Oryctolagus cuniculus: one gene and its partners. The protein of the gene in region 1 binds, or shares a complex with, the protein of each later gene. Links are inferred from orthologs where the notes say so. Each region holds a gene or a part of one and is shown in the gene's direction. Other genes may lie near its edges.

Region 1 (3,558 bases):
AATTTCATATGTACATTTTATTAAATGTTATTGTAGCTTATTTACAGCTAACAAGTAAAATACTATTCACTTAATATCTGTCATCCTCTTCCGGATCTTCCTTACCAAGTATCTTATGATAACTCTTGGTTATTTTGATTGTTATCTAACTCAGTATGGAGTCTCCTTCCATTATCTTCCATTTTCCTTAATAAAGTCAAAGATTCATTTATTAAATATAGAAAAGTCTTAGTCTTTGCTTACTACTTAACTCAAAATACAATCTTTTATTATTTGATTTCTTCCAATGATTTGCCTCCCTTTTAAATACTCTGCACAGGGGCCAGCACTGTGGCGTAGCGGGTAAGACCACCGCCTGCAGGGCTGGCATCCCATATGGGCGCTGGTTCGAGTCTCGGCTGCTCCTCTTCCAATCCAGCTCTTGTGGGAGACCCAGAAGAAGCTTCTGGCTCCTGGTTTTGGATTGGCACAGCTCCAGCTATTGCAGCCAACTGGGGAGTGAACCAGTGAATGGAAGACCTCTCTCTCTCTGCCTATCCTTCTTTGTGTAATTCTGACTTTCAAGTAAATAAATAAATCTTTTTTTAAAAAATTAAATAAATAAATACTCTGCACAGTGCTGAGTTGCCTGCATTTTCAATTAACAAATACGTATGAAGCCTTCAAAAAGTGCATGGAAAATGCAAATTATGAAAAAACTATTCATAAACTTCAAATTGTTTTGCACCAAAATGTACTTTTTTTAAAAGATTGATTTATTTATGTTGAAAATCAGGATTATAGAGAGAGAGACAGATAGACAGAAAGATCTTCCATTCACTTGTTTACTCCCATGATGGCCGCAATAGCCAGGACTGGGCCAGGCTGAAGTCAGGAGCCAGGAGCTTCATCCAGGTCTCCCACATGGGTAGCAGGGGCCCAAACACTTGAGCCATTTTCCACTGCTTTTCTGAAGCCATTAGCAGGGAGCTGGATCTGAAGCGGAGCAGCCAGGACTTTTAATTGGCACCCAGATGAGATGCTGGCATCACAGGTGGTGGCTTTACCCGGAGAGCCACAATGTCAGCCTTAAACTTACATTAATTAAATTTTCTATGAACTTTTTGAAGTACTCTTGTTTTGTCCCATCTGTGTACTCTGCTCTGTGTAACTCCAGTCTGCTAGAATTTTCTGTATGTAGCATAACATACACAAAGAATAACTTCATACTTAGAAACTATACTTAAATAATTGTTTAGCCATTTCACATTTTTTGTAAAGATTTATTTATTTAAGAGAGAGGTAGAGTCAGAGAGAGAGAGAGAGGTCTTCCATCTGCTGGTTCACTTCCTAAATGAACGCAATGGCCAGAGCTGAGCTGATCCGAAGCCAGAAGCCAGGAGCCAGGAGCTTCTTCTGGGTCTCCCACGCGGGTGCAGGGGCCCAAGGAGTTGGGCCATCTTCTACTGCTTTCCCAGGCCATAGCAGATAGCTGGATCAGAAGTGGAGCAGCCAGGACTTGAACTGATGCCCATATGGGATGCCAAGCGCAGGGGCCCAAGGACTTGGGCCATCTTCTACTGCTTTCCCAGGCCATAGCAGATAGCTGGATCAGAAGTGGAGCAGCCAGGACTTGAACCGATGCCCATATGGGATGCCAGCACTGCAGGCTGGGGCTTTAACCTGCTGCACCATAGTACAGCCTCCTCACATTTAATATTAGAAAATACAACCACCTATCAACACATACTCAGCTGTTTTTCATATGAAAATTTGGAACCAATACTTTGGGTGTAACTATAGGAAGAGATAATTACTGTGAACATTTTATTCTGTTTATTTTTTTTTTTTTTTGATGTATATATTTGTCTAAAGTTGTAACCATACTACATGTTGCAAAATTCCACCTAATACTATGTGGTGAACATATTTCTGTCTTGTAACATGTCATGGCTGTACAACTCAAAGAGAACTTACCAATGATTCTTGAAGGTATTTGTATTACTTTTCCTATTTGATTATGTACTAAGGATAAAAAGCAGCTTTTATTTCTCCTTTCTGCATCATTATCTGATACAATGCCATGTTGTTTTTTTCTATCTGCAATAATTTCCTTTAAAAAGTCTGAGAAACTCAGGACATACATATATTTGTGGTTTTCATGTCCCAAATGCATACTGCCATTCCAGTCATGAGAAAACACTAGACAAACACTGAGGAACATTCTACAAAAAATAATCAGCATTCTTCACATGTTCAAAGGTCATAAAAGATAAGGAAAAACAGGAATTGCAAACAGCCTAGGAAAGACAAAGAAGGTTCTACTTCCAGTCCAGCTTCCTGCTAATGCTTCTGTCAGGGCAGCAGACAACTGCTTGGACCACTTCCACCTAGGTGGCAAACCAGGATGGAATTCCTGGTTCCTGGCTTTGGTCTGGCCCAGCTTTGGCTGTTATGGCCATTTGGTAAATGAACTAGTGGATAGAAGATCAGTTCATCTTCTCTTTCTCTCTCTCACTCACTGCCTTTCAAGTAAATAAATGCATAAATCTATAAAACAACTTGAGTAAAGGTCTATAATATTGGGCCAGCACTGTGGCGTAGCAGGTAAAGTTGGCACCTGCAGTGCTGGCATCCCATATGGGCACCGGTTCGTGTCCTGGCTGCTTCGCTTCAAATTCAGCTCTCTGGTATGGCCTGGGAAAGCAGTAGAAGATGGCCCTAGTCCTTGGGTCCCTGCACCTGCATGGGAGACCCAGAAGAAGCTCCTGGTTCTTGGCTTTGAATCAGCCCAGCTCCAGCCATTGTGGCCATTTGGGAAGTGAACCAGCAGATGGAAGACTTCTCTCTCTCTCTCTCCCTCTCCCTCGCTTCCCCTCTCTCTCCTCCTCCCCCTCCCTCTCCCCCTCCCTCTCCCCCTCTCCCTCTTCGTCCCTCCCTCCCTCTCTCCCTTTCTGCTTCTACCTCTCTAACTCTGCCTTTCAAACAAATAAATAAATCTTTAAAAAAGAGCCTATAATGTATTTGATAATATTGTGCCAGTGTTAATGTCCTGTTGATCATTGCAGTATGATTTTATAATGTGTTAACATTAGAGAAAGATGGGGGGAACTCTGTTGAAAATCTAAAATTAATTCTAACTTTTAAAAAATGTCCTAGGAGAAAAGCTTTTAAGTTTTGCCTATGGATATTTTTAACTCTTTTTTCACTTTAATTCTAGCACCAAGCAGTATCATTTTTGCTGGCTGAGATGGCAATGAAAGTTGAACTAGCTAGAATGAGTTACCAGAGAGCAGCTTGGGAGGTGGATTCTGGTCGGCGAAATACCTATTATGCTTCTATTGCAAAGGCATTTGCTGGAGATATTGCAAATCAGGTTGCTACTGATGCTGTACAGATTTTTGGAGGCAATGGATTTAATACAGAATATCCTGTAGAAAAACTAATGAGGGATGCCAAGATCTATCAGGTAAGATTAAAAATGGTTTTTGTTGTTTGTTAGGGGATAGGATATCCAGTAGATTTTTTATTATGTGGGGATTTTATGCCGCTAGTGATAGTAAATGTCATGGATGGCTG
Region 2 (4,731 bases), on another chromosome or scaffold:
CAGATCAGGGACTTGATGACTGCCAGGGAAGTGCAGCAGTGGGTCCGCGACGAGTCTCATCTGTGTCACTCCACACTGCCAGCCTCACAGGTTTCCCAGTGGAAACACCAGCTGGGAGGCAGGGCTTTACGAGGACGGGGGCGTGTCCTCCGGGATGCCAAGTGCGTCTTGAATCAAACAGCTGCGTGCGACGCTGTGACTCCACCATGCAGGGCTGCAGGTCTTTGTCCTCCAACGGGGAGCCTTCCGCCAAAGGATGTGGCAAGAGTCCACTGAGCTGTAAGCTACCCGGGGAACTTAGGGCAGGGGCCAGAGGGCAAGAGCAGGAGTCCCTAGGTTGGCCAACAGGGATTGCCTTGGGTGCCCCGGGTCCTCCCTCGCCCGGTTGTAATAATGGACAGACAGGTGCAGCACGCCTGACCAGAGGACTGGCAGCTGGGCCTGGGATCCCCAGGTAACCGTGGGGGCAGCAGGCTCTGACCCCAGCTCAGCTGTGAGAGCCGCACAGATGCGAGGGGCCTCCCCTGTGTGTGCAGGGCCGGTCTGGTCTCCTGCCACAGACCTGGGCCATTTTCTGCCGTTCCTCTGCCAGGAACCACCATGTCCCATGGGCACTGTGCCTCCGCTGGGCACAGCCACTGCTGATTCACTGCAGCCCGGCAGGTGCCAGAGCTGCCCCGAGGGGGCGGGGCTGGGGAGGCTGCTCTCCCCTCTGTTTCTGCTTTGTCACCAGTGGCAGGGGGCAGGGAAGGGGGTTAGCTTACATCTCGCTTTTTACACGGCTTTGAGTCAAAAATCTCTTTCATTTTTTAACTTGAATTGCCTCCTTCCCACTTCTTCCATTTGCATAGGGCACAGGTTTGAGATCGGTGGAGGCCTGGCTTGGAGCAAATGCAGAGCTAACGGGGATACTAAACGGCCTCTCCCACAGACACGTTTCCTGGATCCTCAGCCCAGAACCATGAGGGTGGCAGAGAAGGGGAAAGGATCAGCTGGTCCAGGCAATGGGTTTTCAAGGTCAGGTGGGAGGAGAGCTAGAGGCGTGCAGGGCTTGCTGGGGTCAGGCCCAGTGGGCGGGTCGATAAGTGGACCCAAAGGCCAGGGGCCGCTGCACCCTGCACCCATGGCATTGACCCCAGGGTGGGGGTGCAACTGCCCAGGGACACGCACATCCTCATGCCAGGCCGGTCCCTTCCGCAGGCGGCACACAGAATTCTGCACCTCGCCCTGGCACTGTGCCCACTGTGTGTCCACACGGCTCCTCCGTCTAAATTCAGTTCAAACGACCACCAGCGTCAGAACCCCTTCTCCCTTTAGGGTCATGCTAGGCTTAATTATTTGTAGCATTCCTCCAGAGTCTCATAAAATCCCCCGACGGGCAGGGCAAGATCTTCTGCGTTCTTTTACTATATTCCCTTCACTGGGCGAAGTGTTTTTAGCTCATTACAGGTGTAACAGCTGACCCTGCGAATAAATGAATGAATGAGTGGGCAAGAATGAATGCAGCGGGACAGTGGACGGGGCTGGGAAGCCAGGACGGAAAGCTGATGGCAACCGCTGTGGGCAACCCCGACGGGGCTAGGACAGCCCGGGCGCAGCCGCCAGCCGCGTGCGGACGCGCCGCCTCTGCAGCTCCGCGGCCGGGCGCGGCACACAGCGGCCTCACCTTTGCCCTACTCCAAGCCCAGGCTTCAACTTTCCGCCGCTCCCATTGGCTGCGCGACCGTCCAATCGGCAGGCGGGAACCGTCCGCTCGCTCAGCCGGCCCCGGGCTCGCGTTCTCGTCCGTCCGCGCGTCTCGCGAGGCTTTAGGGTGACTGGAGGAGGCGGTGCCGTGCGGCGGGGCTCGGGGCTGGCGAGGCTGAGGGGACCGCGGCGCGAACCAGCACAGCGACCATGCTGCGAGCGGTAGCTCCTGGGCAGCTGCGGCGGGCGGTGAGTCCGGACGAGAGGGGCTCCCTGTGCCGACCCCGAGAGGGGCTTGTCGAAGGTCATGGCTCCCTCGGGTCCCAGCAGAGTTCTGGGCCCTGCCCTTGACTCCTTCCGGGCCGCCGGCTCGGGTCAGAGGGTAGAGGTCAGCGTGACCGTCCGCCGCCGGGTGCAGGCCGGGTGGGCGCCGCTGCGCGGGCGGGGGGCCGAGGACTTGCGGGCGGTGCGGGTCCGGGGTTCGTCACCTTCCTCTCTCCGGCCCAGAGGGAGTTAGTTAATGAATTAGGGTCTGCACGCTGTGGGAGAGCGGTCTTGGGAGGCCGATGGCCAGGGACAGACGTTGGTCTTGCACACGTGCTAGGCTTTCTCGAGTTTTATTTAAGTGGGACACAAAGATTGCTAGCTAGACTTGGGTTGGACACGTCCCTGATGCTTTGTGCCTTTGCTACCATTTCTTGTTATTCAACGATTTATTTTATTTGAAAGTCAGAGTTTAAAACGGATGAAAGTCTATATCATTCTTGACAAAAAAAAAAAAAAAAAAAGAGTTGCAGAGAGAAAAGGAGAGACAGAGAGAGCTGCCTTCCACTGGGTCACTCTCCAAAGGGCTGCAAGACCCGGGCTGGGCCAGGCCAAAGCCAGGAGCCAGGAGCTTCCTTCAGGTCTCCCACGTGGGTGCAGGGGCCCAAGGACTTGGGCCATCGTCCACTGCTTTCCCAGGCCACAGCAGAGAGCTGGATCGGAAGAGGAGCAGCCGGGACTTGAACCGGCGTCCATACGGGGTGCTGGCGTCCCCGGAGGATGCTCGCCCACTCACAGCGCCAGCCCGTCACATCTCTTCTGTGTGTGTGCGCGTTCCCACGCACCCCAGGACCTACCTGCTCGTCCCCCCAGATGTCTGTAGACGGCTCCTTTCCTTGTGCGGGTTCCTTGTTCTGTCACAACCCTCTTCCTCCCCTTAAAAAACTCACACTCAGGCCCTCCAGGTCCTTGCCCCGTCTTTTTTGTTTTGCTGTTTTCCTCAGAGACTCCAGACGTGAGCCAGGTCCAGCCGAGTTTTTGGAAGGATTCCAGGAAGCACAGCTTGACTTGTCCGTGTGCAGCCGGAAGGCAGCCTTGTGGACAGGTTACACGGCTGCCGTACGTGGCGTGATAGCTGTAGTGGGGAGAGTCTGTGGAACTAACAGATGAAAAAGGGTGACTAGTCGAAGTGATTCTCACTGTTGGCACAGTCGGCCAGTGTGCATAGTCAGTAGTGTTTCCAAACCTTTCTTGTGGTTTGCCAAGGACTTTGACCCTGACTTATTTTTATAATTTGAAGTCAAGCTCAGAGCAGCTGCTCCAGAGTCGGTAAGCATGTCTGAGATTTGTGTTTCAAGCCTATGAGATACGGAGGGAACAGTAAGGAAACGGACAGCTAGAGACACTTTGCCTGTTTAGCTCTACCTTTTTTGAAGTAAGTTCAGGCTTACAGAAAAGTTGCAGAAATAGAACAAAGTATACCAGGATTCTTTCCTGAATCTCACCCACTGTTAGCAGTTTGACACACGTGTTTTCTCTCTACATGCTTACCTGCATACGGAAGTACTACTTTCTTTCTGAATTATTTGAGAGTGTGTTGCAGACATGCCCTTCACTCCTGAATTGTTCAGTGCTTATTTTAAAAGAATAGGGAGGCTAAGGCTGGCACCGCGGCTCACTAGGCTAATCCTCCACCTTGCGGCGCCGGCATACCAGGTTCTAGTCCCGGTCAGGGCGCCGGATTCTGTCCCGGTTGCTCCTCTTCCAGGCCAGCTCTCTGCTGTGGCCAGGGAGGGCAGTGGAGGATGGCCCAAGTGCTTGGGCCCTGCACCGCATGGGAGACCAGGAGAAGCGCCTGGCTCCTGCCATCGGATCAGCGCGGTGCGCCGGCCGCAGCGCGCTGGCCGCTGCGGCCATTGGAGGGTGAACCAATGGCAAAAGGAAGACCTTTCTCTCTGTCTCTCTCTCTCACTGTCCACTCTGCCTGTTAAAAAAAAAAAAAAAGAATAGGGAGGCTTGTTTTCCTGACCATGGTATAATTGGCAGTATCAGGAAGTTTAACAATGATACAATATTATTTTCCAATCTGTAGATGTCCACATTTTGCCAATTTTTTCTTAAGATTTATTTATATATTTGAGAGGTAGAGTTACAGAGACAGGGAGAGAGAGAGAGGTCTTCATCCGCTGGTTCACTCCCCAGTGGTCGCAACAGCCGAGCTGGGCCGATCCAAAGCCAGCAGCAGGAGCTTTTTCCAGGTCTCCCACATGGGTACTGGGGCCCAAGGGCTTGGCCCATCTTCTGCTTTCCCAGGCCATCAGCAGGGAGCTGGATCGGAAGTGGAGCAGCCAGGACTTGAACCAGCACCCATATGGGATTCTGGCACCTCAGGCTGAAGCTTAACCTGCTGCGCCACAGTGCCAGCCACCCATTGTTTAATACTGTTTATCACAGAGTTTCTCCCTCTGGTCCGAGACAGGCTGCCTTGCGTGCAGCTGCCAGTCTCTTTAGTCTTAGGAGGAACGTTCCTCGGCCTTTCTTTGGCGTTGATGACATGGACATTTTTGGGAGTGTGTGCCTCCTGTTTGGTCGACGCTCACCCAGTGTAGTTTGTTAGGTGTTTCTTCAGTAGATTCAGGTTAAGCGTTCTTGGCTGGGACCTCGCAGCAGTGAGACTGTGTTCTCAGCACGCCTAGGAAGAGGCACATTCTGATAGTTGATCCCATCATCAGCCCTGTTACCTTTAGTTACTTTGGACAAGAGCCCTGTGCTGGGTTTGTG
Region 3 (4,755 bases), on another chromosome or scaffold:
CGGGGGCAGGGCGTCGTGGGGGTGCCCGGGAGGTGGTGGCCAGTCCTGCCCGTGTGGCCCCTGCAGCAGCCTCCTTGGCATGGGAGTGAAACACAGCCTGCAGATGGGCGGCGCGTTCCTCAGCTTCCTGGCCAACATCCTCACGGTGCTGTCCACCGCCAGCAACTACTGGACGCGCCACCATGGGGGTCACAGCGGCCTGTGGCAGGAGTGCAGCCACGGCACCTGCTCCAACATCCCCTGCCAGAGTGAGCGGCCCGGGGCCGGGCGGCGTCCGCCCTCCGCGCGCGCCACCTCCAGGCCTCTCGGTCCGCGCCCGGCCCAGCCCCGGGTGGGGGCGCCCAGTGCGGCAGGCTGACGCGGCCCGCTCGCCCGCAGCCATGCTGGCCGTGACCGGGGCGTGCATGGTGCTGGCGACCGGCTTCGGCATCGTGGCCACGGTGATGGGAATGAAGATTCTGTGCCATCAGGGGGAGTCGCTGCGGGGCCAGGTCACGAGCGCCTTCCTCTTCCTCGCCGGTGAGACGGCGGCGGCGCCCGGGGGCGGAGCTGGGAGGGGTGGGCGTGGCCTGACAGACGGGGCGGGAGGCCGCGGGGAGGGGCGTGGCTGGAGGCGTGGGCTGGACGCGGGGGCGTGGCTGGAGGCGTGGACGGGACGCGGGGTCGTGGCTGGCGGAGGGGCAGGGCCCGGGGCGGACGGCGAGGTGTGGGCGGGACGCGGGGGCGTGGCTGGCGGAGGGGCAGGGCCCGGGGCGGACGGCGAGGCGTGCGTGGGCCCGCGGCGGCCCCACCTGCGCCTGGCCACGCTCACCCGAGGCGCTGGCGGGCCGGCCCAGGTTTGCTGCTGCTGATCGCTTTGACGGGCTACACAGTGAAGACTGCCTGGAAGAACGACGTCTTCTTCTCCTGGTCCTATTTCTTGGGGTGGCTGGCTTTACCCTTCTCTATTCTCGCGGGTAACCTGGGCCGCGGGGAGAGGGGACACTGCCCTGGGACGCCCCGCCCTCGCCAGGGCCCGACCCTAGCCCCGCCCCTCCTTGGGCCCCGCCCCCGCCCAGCCCCGCCCCCGCAGAGCTGGGCAAGCCGCGCGCCCCCAGCCCCCGCACTGGGACCCCCTTCCCCTCCGCGCCCCCGCCTTCCCGGCCCCTCCCCCACCCCCGACCCCGCAGAACTGGCCGAGCCGCGCGCCCCCAGCCCCCGCACTGGGACCCCCTTCCCCTCCCCCGCCTTCCCGGCCCCGCCCCCACCCCCGACCCCGCAGAACTGGCAGAGCCGCGCGCCCCCAGCCCCCGCGCCGGGACCCCCTTCCCCTCCCGCCAGGCTTCTGCTTCCTGCTGGCGGACATGATCGTGCAGAGCACGGACGCCATCAGCGGCTTCCCGGTGTGCCTGTGAGCGCAGCCCGTCCCGACGCGGAATAAAGGAACGGATTTCGGCCACGCGGCTCCGCGCGCCTCTCGGGGGGACAGGGCCACGGGGGGCGGGGGCCGTGCACGCGGCTGACCTGGGGTCGTCCCCCGGGGTCACGGGTACAAAGGGCGCGGCGACTCGGAGAGGCGGGCAGGCGGCCGGCCCCCGCACGACCTTTCCCCTAATTTCCCGCCACGCCCCCTTCTGGCCACGCCCCGTCCCCCTCCCGCTCCAGACCGGCTCTCCGTGGGTCCGCGTCCGCTGGCCACACCCCTCCTTACCTCCGGCCTCCTGATTGGTCACCTTTCCGGGCGGGGCGCGGACTGCGCAGCCGCGGAGTGGCGGGCGGCGCGGCGCGCAGGCGCAGAGAGGGACGGGGGCGGGGCGTTCGGGCGGGGAGGTCCGGGGTGCCGCCGGCCCCGGCCGCTGGCTGCTGCGGGAAGATGGCGGAGCTGCGCGCGCTCGTGGCTGTCAAGAGGGTTATCGACTTCGCCGTGAAGGTGACCGGGGCCTCCCCCCTTCCTGCTTCCAAGTGGTGCCCCGCGGCCGTGGGCTTCCGGGATCACGAGCGCGCCATGGGCGGGGGTCTGCTCGTAACCCCTGACCCAGTCGTCAAAGTCACGGGCAGACGCCGAGGACTGTGAGGTCGCGACCCCGTGCACACTCTCCCGATGACTGTCCTAGCGGCCGGAGCAGCCACGAGCCTTGCTTAACGCGGGGAAACTGAGGCACGGCGCGCCCACCCGGCCGGGGAGGGCCAGGGCCGGGGGTCCCGTCCACGACCCCCCGGTTCTTCGCTCGGACTCGGCGCGTGGCTCCGAGGCGAGCTTTCTGACCGCAGCCCCCGGAGTGTGCAGACTGGGGGGACCCCCAGAAGCCGGCGTTCCCCGTCCGCGGCCCCCGGGGGTGAGCGCCAAGGCTCTGGCTGGGGAGGGGCCGACAGGGGTGAAAGGTCAAGCTTGGGGGTGGTGGGGCAGGGGCTTCAGGTCCCCAGAGCCCGGCTTGGAGGCGGGAAGCAGCCCCTCCGTTTCTCTCAGTGCTTGGCCTGAGCTGCCCATGTGGCTCCGCTGTGCCAGCAGCGCGGGCGCTCACCTCTGGGTGCCCCCCCAGCCCGTCCCGGGGCGCTGAGGCCCACTGGGGCCCTGTCTTCCCCAGAGCACCCAGCCAGGACAGAAACCCAGCCAGGCCAGCCCAGCTCCGGACCGCCTGCCGCTCCCTCCCGGGCGTGGGCCAGGGCTGAGTGGCGCTTCTCCAGGGGTCGCGCGACCCCGCGCTCCTGCTTGGAGCCCCCCTCCCCTGGACTCCTGCAGCCCCCTAGGGCTCCCTCCGCCCCGGGCCTGGGCGCAGGTCTGTCTCCACTCAGTCAGTCCGGCACAGAGCCCTGCGCACGGGTGCCTCCAGCGTGTTCGGCCCCGCCTGCACCTGCCTGCACCTGCGCCTGCACACTGCCCCCCTTCCATCCCGCTGGGCGTGTCTGTCGACGCCCCTTTCGGAACAAACAGGGGATCCAGACACTGCAGCTACCGGAACACCAGGCCTGGACGCCGTCCACGCCCCTCCAGGGTCCTCTCTACCTCCCCTGGCCCCTTGCCCTAGTCTCCTCGCACACCCGCAGTCTCTCCCCTCAGCCTGGCCTTAGGGATCCCGGCGGCCCCGCTCAGGCGGCCATGTCCCCTCTGGGACCCTCACCCCACCTGCTCCTCCTTTCCCTGGCTCCGGCCCCCCCTGCTTCCGGTCCCAGCGTCACCACCTCCAGGAAGCCCTCCATGCACCTCCTCAGGTTACTGAGGTGTGTCTCAGGGCCCCTGCAGAACCCTGGCTTGCCTCTACCGCCCTCCCCCACACACACCAGGCCCTCGTGGCCACACCCACCTCCCACCCCCAGCCTGGCAGCTGTTGCACTGCTCACCCCGTCGTCACCTCTGTGGGGCCTTCCGTGGTCGTGGTCGCCTGCTTGAAGCCACAGCCCCAGAGTCCCCCCCCCCCCCCCCCCGCCGGACAGTGGAATTTACTCCCTACTGCTTTAGTGCCTGTCCCCTTCCTCTGGAATGGGCAGTGGCAAGAGGTCGTGGGATGTGTTCGCCGCTGGCAGGTGCACCACTGGAAACGGGACAGTGCGAGGCGCGTGCTAGGTGGTGGCTGGCGCTGCTGGAGGCCGCGGGGGACACTGTGGAGTCGCTGAGGGCAGGTGCCTCTGTTTCCCGGTCCGAACGGCCTCTGCCCCCCTCGGGGCTCCCGCTCTGGCCGTGTGTGGGAAGGCAGGTGCCTCTGTGTTTCCCGATCCGAACGGCCTCTGCCCCCCCCCCCGGGCGTGGGGCTCCCGCTCCGGCCGTGTGTGGGAAGGCAGGTGCCTCTGTTTCCCGGTCCCCACGGCCTCTGCCCCCCTCGGGGCTCCCACTCCGGCCGTGCGTGGGAAGGCAGGTGCCTCTGTGTGTTTCCCGGTCCCCACGGCCTCTGCCCCCCCCCTCGGGGCTCCCGCTCCGGCCGTGCATGGGAAGGCAGGTGCCTCTGTGTGTTTCCTGGTCCCCACGGCCTCTGCCCTCCTCGGGGCTCCCGCTCCGGCTGTGCGTGGGAAGGCAGGTGCCTCTGTGTGTTTCCTGGTCCCCACGGCCTCTGCCCCCCCTCGGGGCTCCCGCTCTGGCCGTGCATGGGAAGGCAGGTGCCTCTGTGTGTTTCCCGGTCCCCACGGCCTCTGCCCCCCCCGGCGGGGGGGCTCCCGCTCTGGCCGTGCGTGGGAAGGCAGGTGCCTCTGTGTGTTTCCCGGTCCCCACGGCCTCCGCCCCCCTCCCCGGGGGGCTCCTGCGGCACCCCCTCCGGCCTGTTTTCTCCAGATGTCTCATGGGAAGGTGTGCTGGCTGCCCCTCCTGCCCCCGCGTGGCCCTGGCTGCTGTGCTGGCTCTGTGCCCCAGCACGTGGCCGGCCACGCACAAGGACAGCCTGCATCCAACCCAGTCCCTGGGGGCTGTGTCCAGGGTTCGAGAAGAGTTGCCAGGAATCTACAGGGAGCCTCCTGGACACAGGGCAGCCGGTCCCGAGGCCCTGTCCTCCCTGCCGGGGCACGCTTGGGGACAGACCGCAGGTGTCGTGGCCAAGGCACATGGCCTTCCTGCCCCTCGGTCACTCCATCTGAAGTGAGGGTGGGACGGGCAGTGGCCAGCCCACAGGCCTCCAGGTGAAGCGATTAACATGCCACAGCACTGCCCGCGCGGGCCCTGGCTGCTTTGGGTACTCCGAAATAAACGAGACCAAAAAACCCAAAAACCCTTCTTACCGATTCTCAGGCCAGCCAGGGTTTCCTGACTTAAACGACACAGTGCCTCCAGGCCTCAAAGGCCTTCCACGGACA

What was found.
Region 2: the proteins of ACADM (region 1) and ETFA are in contact, whole or in part, in a crystal structure (PDB 2A1T), measured with the Homo sapiens proteins. The link is inferred for Oryctolagus cuniculus from reciprocal best matches to the Homo sapiens genes ACADM and ETFA. Residues at the interface, in NP_000007.1 of Homo sapiens: Pro163, Lys173, Pro211, Gln232, Arg235, Glu237, Val251, Glu253; in NP_000117.1 of Homo sapiens: Arg223, Lys226, Arg249, Asp253, Ala283, Ile284, Gln285, Glu304.
Region 3: the proteins of ACADM (region 1) and ETFB are in contact, whole or in part, in a crystal structure (PDB 2A1T), measured with the Homo sapiens proteins. The link is inferred for Oryctolagus cuniculus from reciprocal best matches to the Homo sapiens genes ACADM and ETFB. Residues at the interface, in NP_000007.1 of Homo sapiens: Glu43, Gln44, Lys46, Glu47, Phe48, Thr51, Lys54, Phe55, Glu58, Glu59, Arg80, Glu83, Leu84, Gly85, Leu86, Leu98, Leu100, Ile108; in NP_001976.1 of Homo sapiens: Glu73, Arg76, Thr77, Tyr192, Ala193, Thr194, Leu195, Pro196, Ile198, Met199, Lys202.

The regions. Positions count from the first base shown.
Region 1 is NC_091438.1:96,227,339-96,230,896, reverse strand, and holds part of ACADM (medium-chain specific acyl-CoA dehydrogenase, mitochondrial), read left to right. Parts: intron 1-3,199; coding exon 3,200-3,448; intron 3,449-3,558. UniProt on the Homo sapiens protein: Medium-chain specific acyl-CoA dehydrogenase is one of the acyl-CoA dehydrogenases that catalyze the first step of mitochondrial fatty acid beta-oxidation, an aerobic process breaking down fatty acids into acetyl-CoA and allowing the production of energy from fats.
Region 2 is NC_091443.1:106,938,597-106,943,327, reverse strand, and holds the start of ETFA (electron transfer flavoprotein subunit alpha, mitochondrial), read left to right. Parts: upstream 1-1,736; 5' UTR 1,737-1,896; coding exon 1,897-1,935; intron 1,936-4,731. UniProt on the Homo sapiens protein: Heterodimeric electron transfer flavoprotein that accepts electrons from several mitochondrial dehydrogenases, including acyl-CoA dehydrogenases, glutaryl-CoA and sarcosine dehydrogenase.
Region 3 is NC_091449.1:6,947,251-6,952,005, forward strand, and holds the start of ETFB (electron transfer flavoprotein subunit beta), read left to right. Parts: upstream 1-1,760; 5' UTR 1,761-1,852; coding exon 1,853-1,909; exon of another isoform or gene 1,910-2,315; intron 2,316-4,755. Other genes in the region: CLDND2 (claudin domain-containing protein 2), read left to right, coding at 80-248, 379-519, 837-956, 1,321-1,394. UniProt on the Homo sapiens protein: Heterodimeric electron transfer flavoprotein that accepts electrons from several mitochondrial dehydrogenases, including acyl-CoA dehydrogenases, glutaryl-CoA and sarcosine dehydrogenase.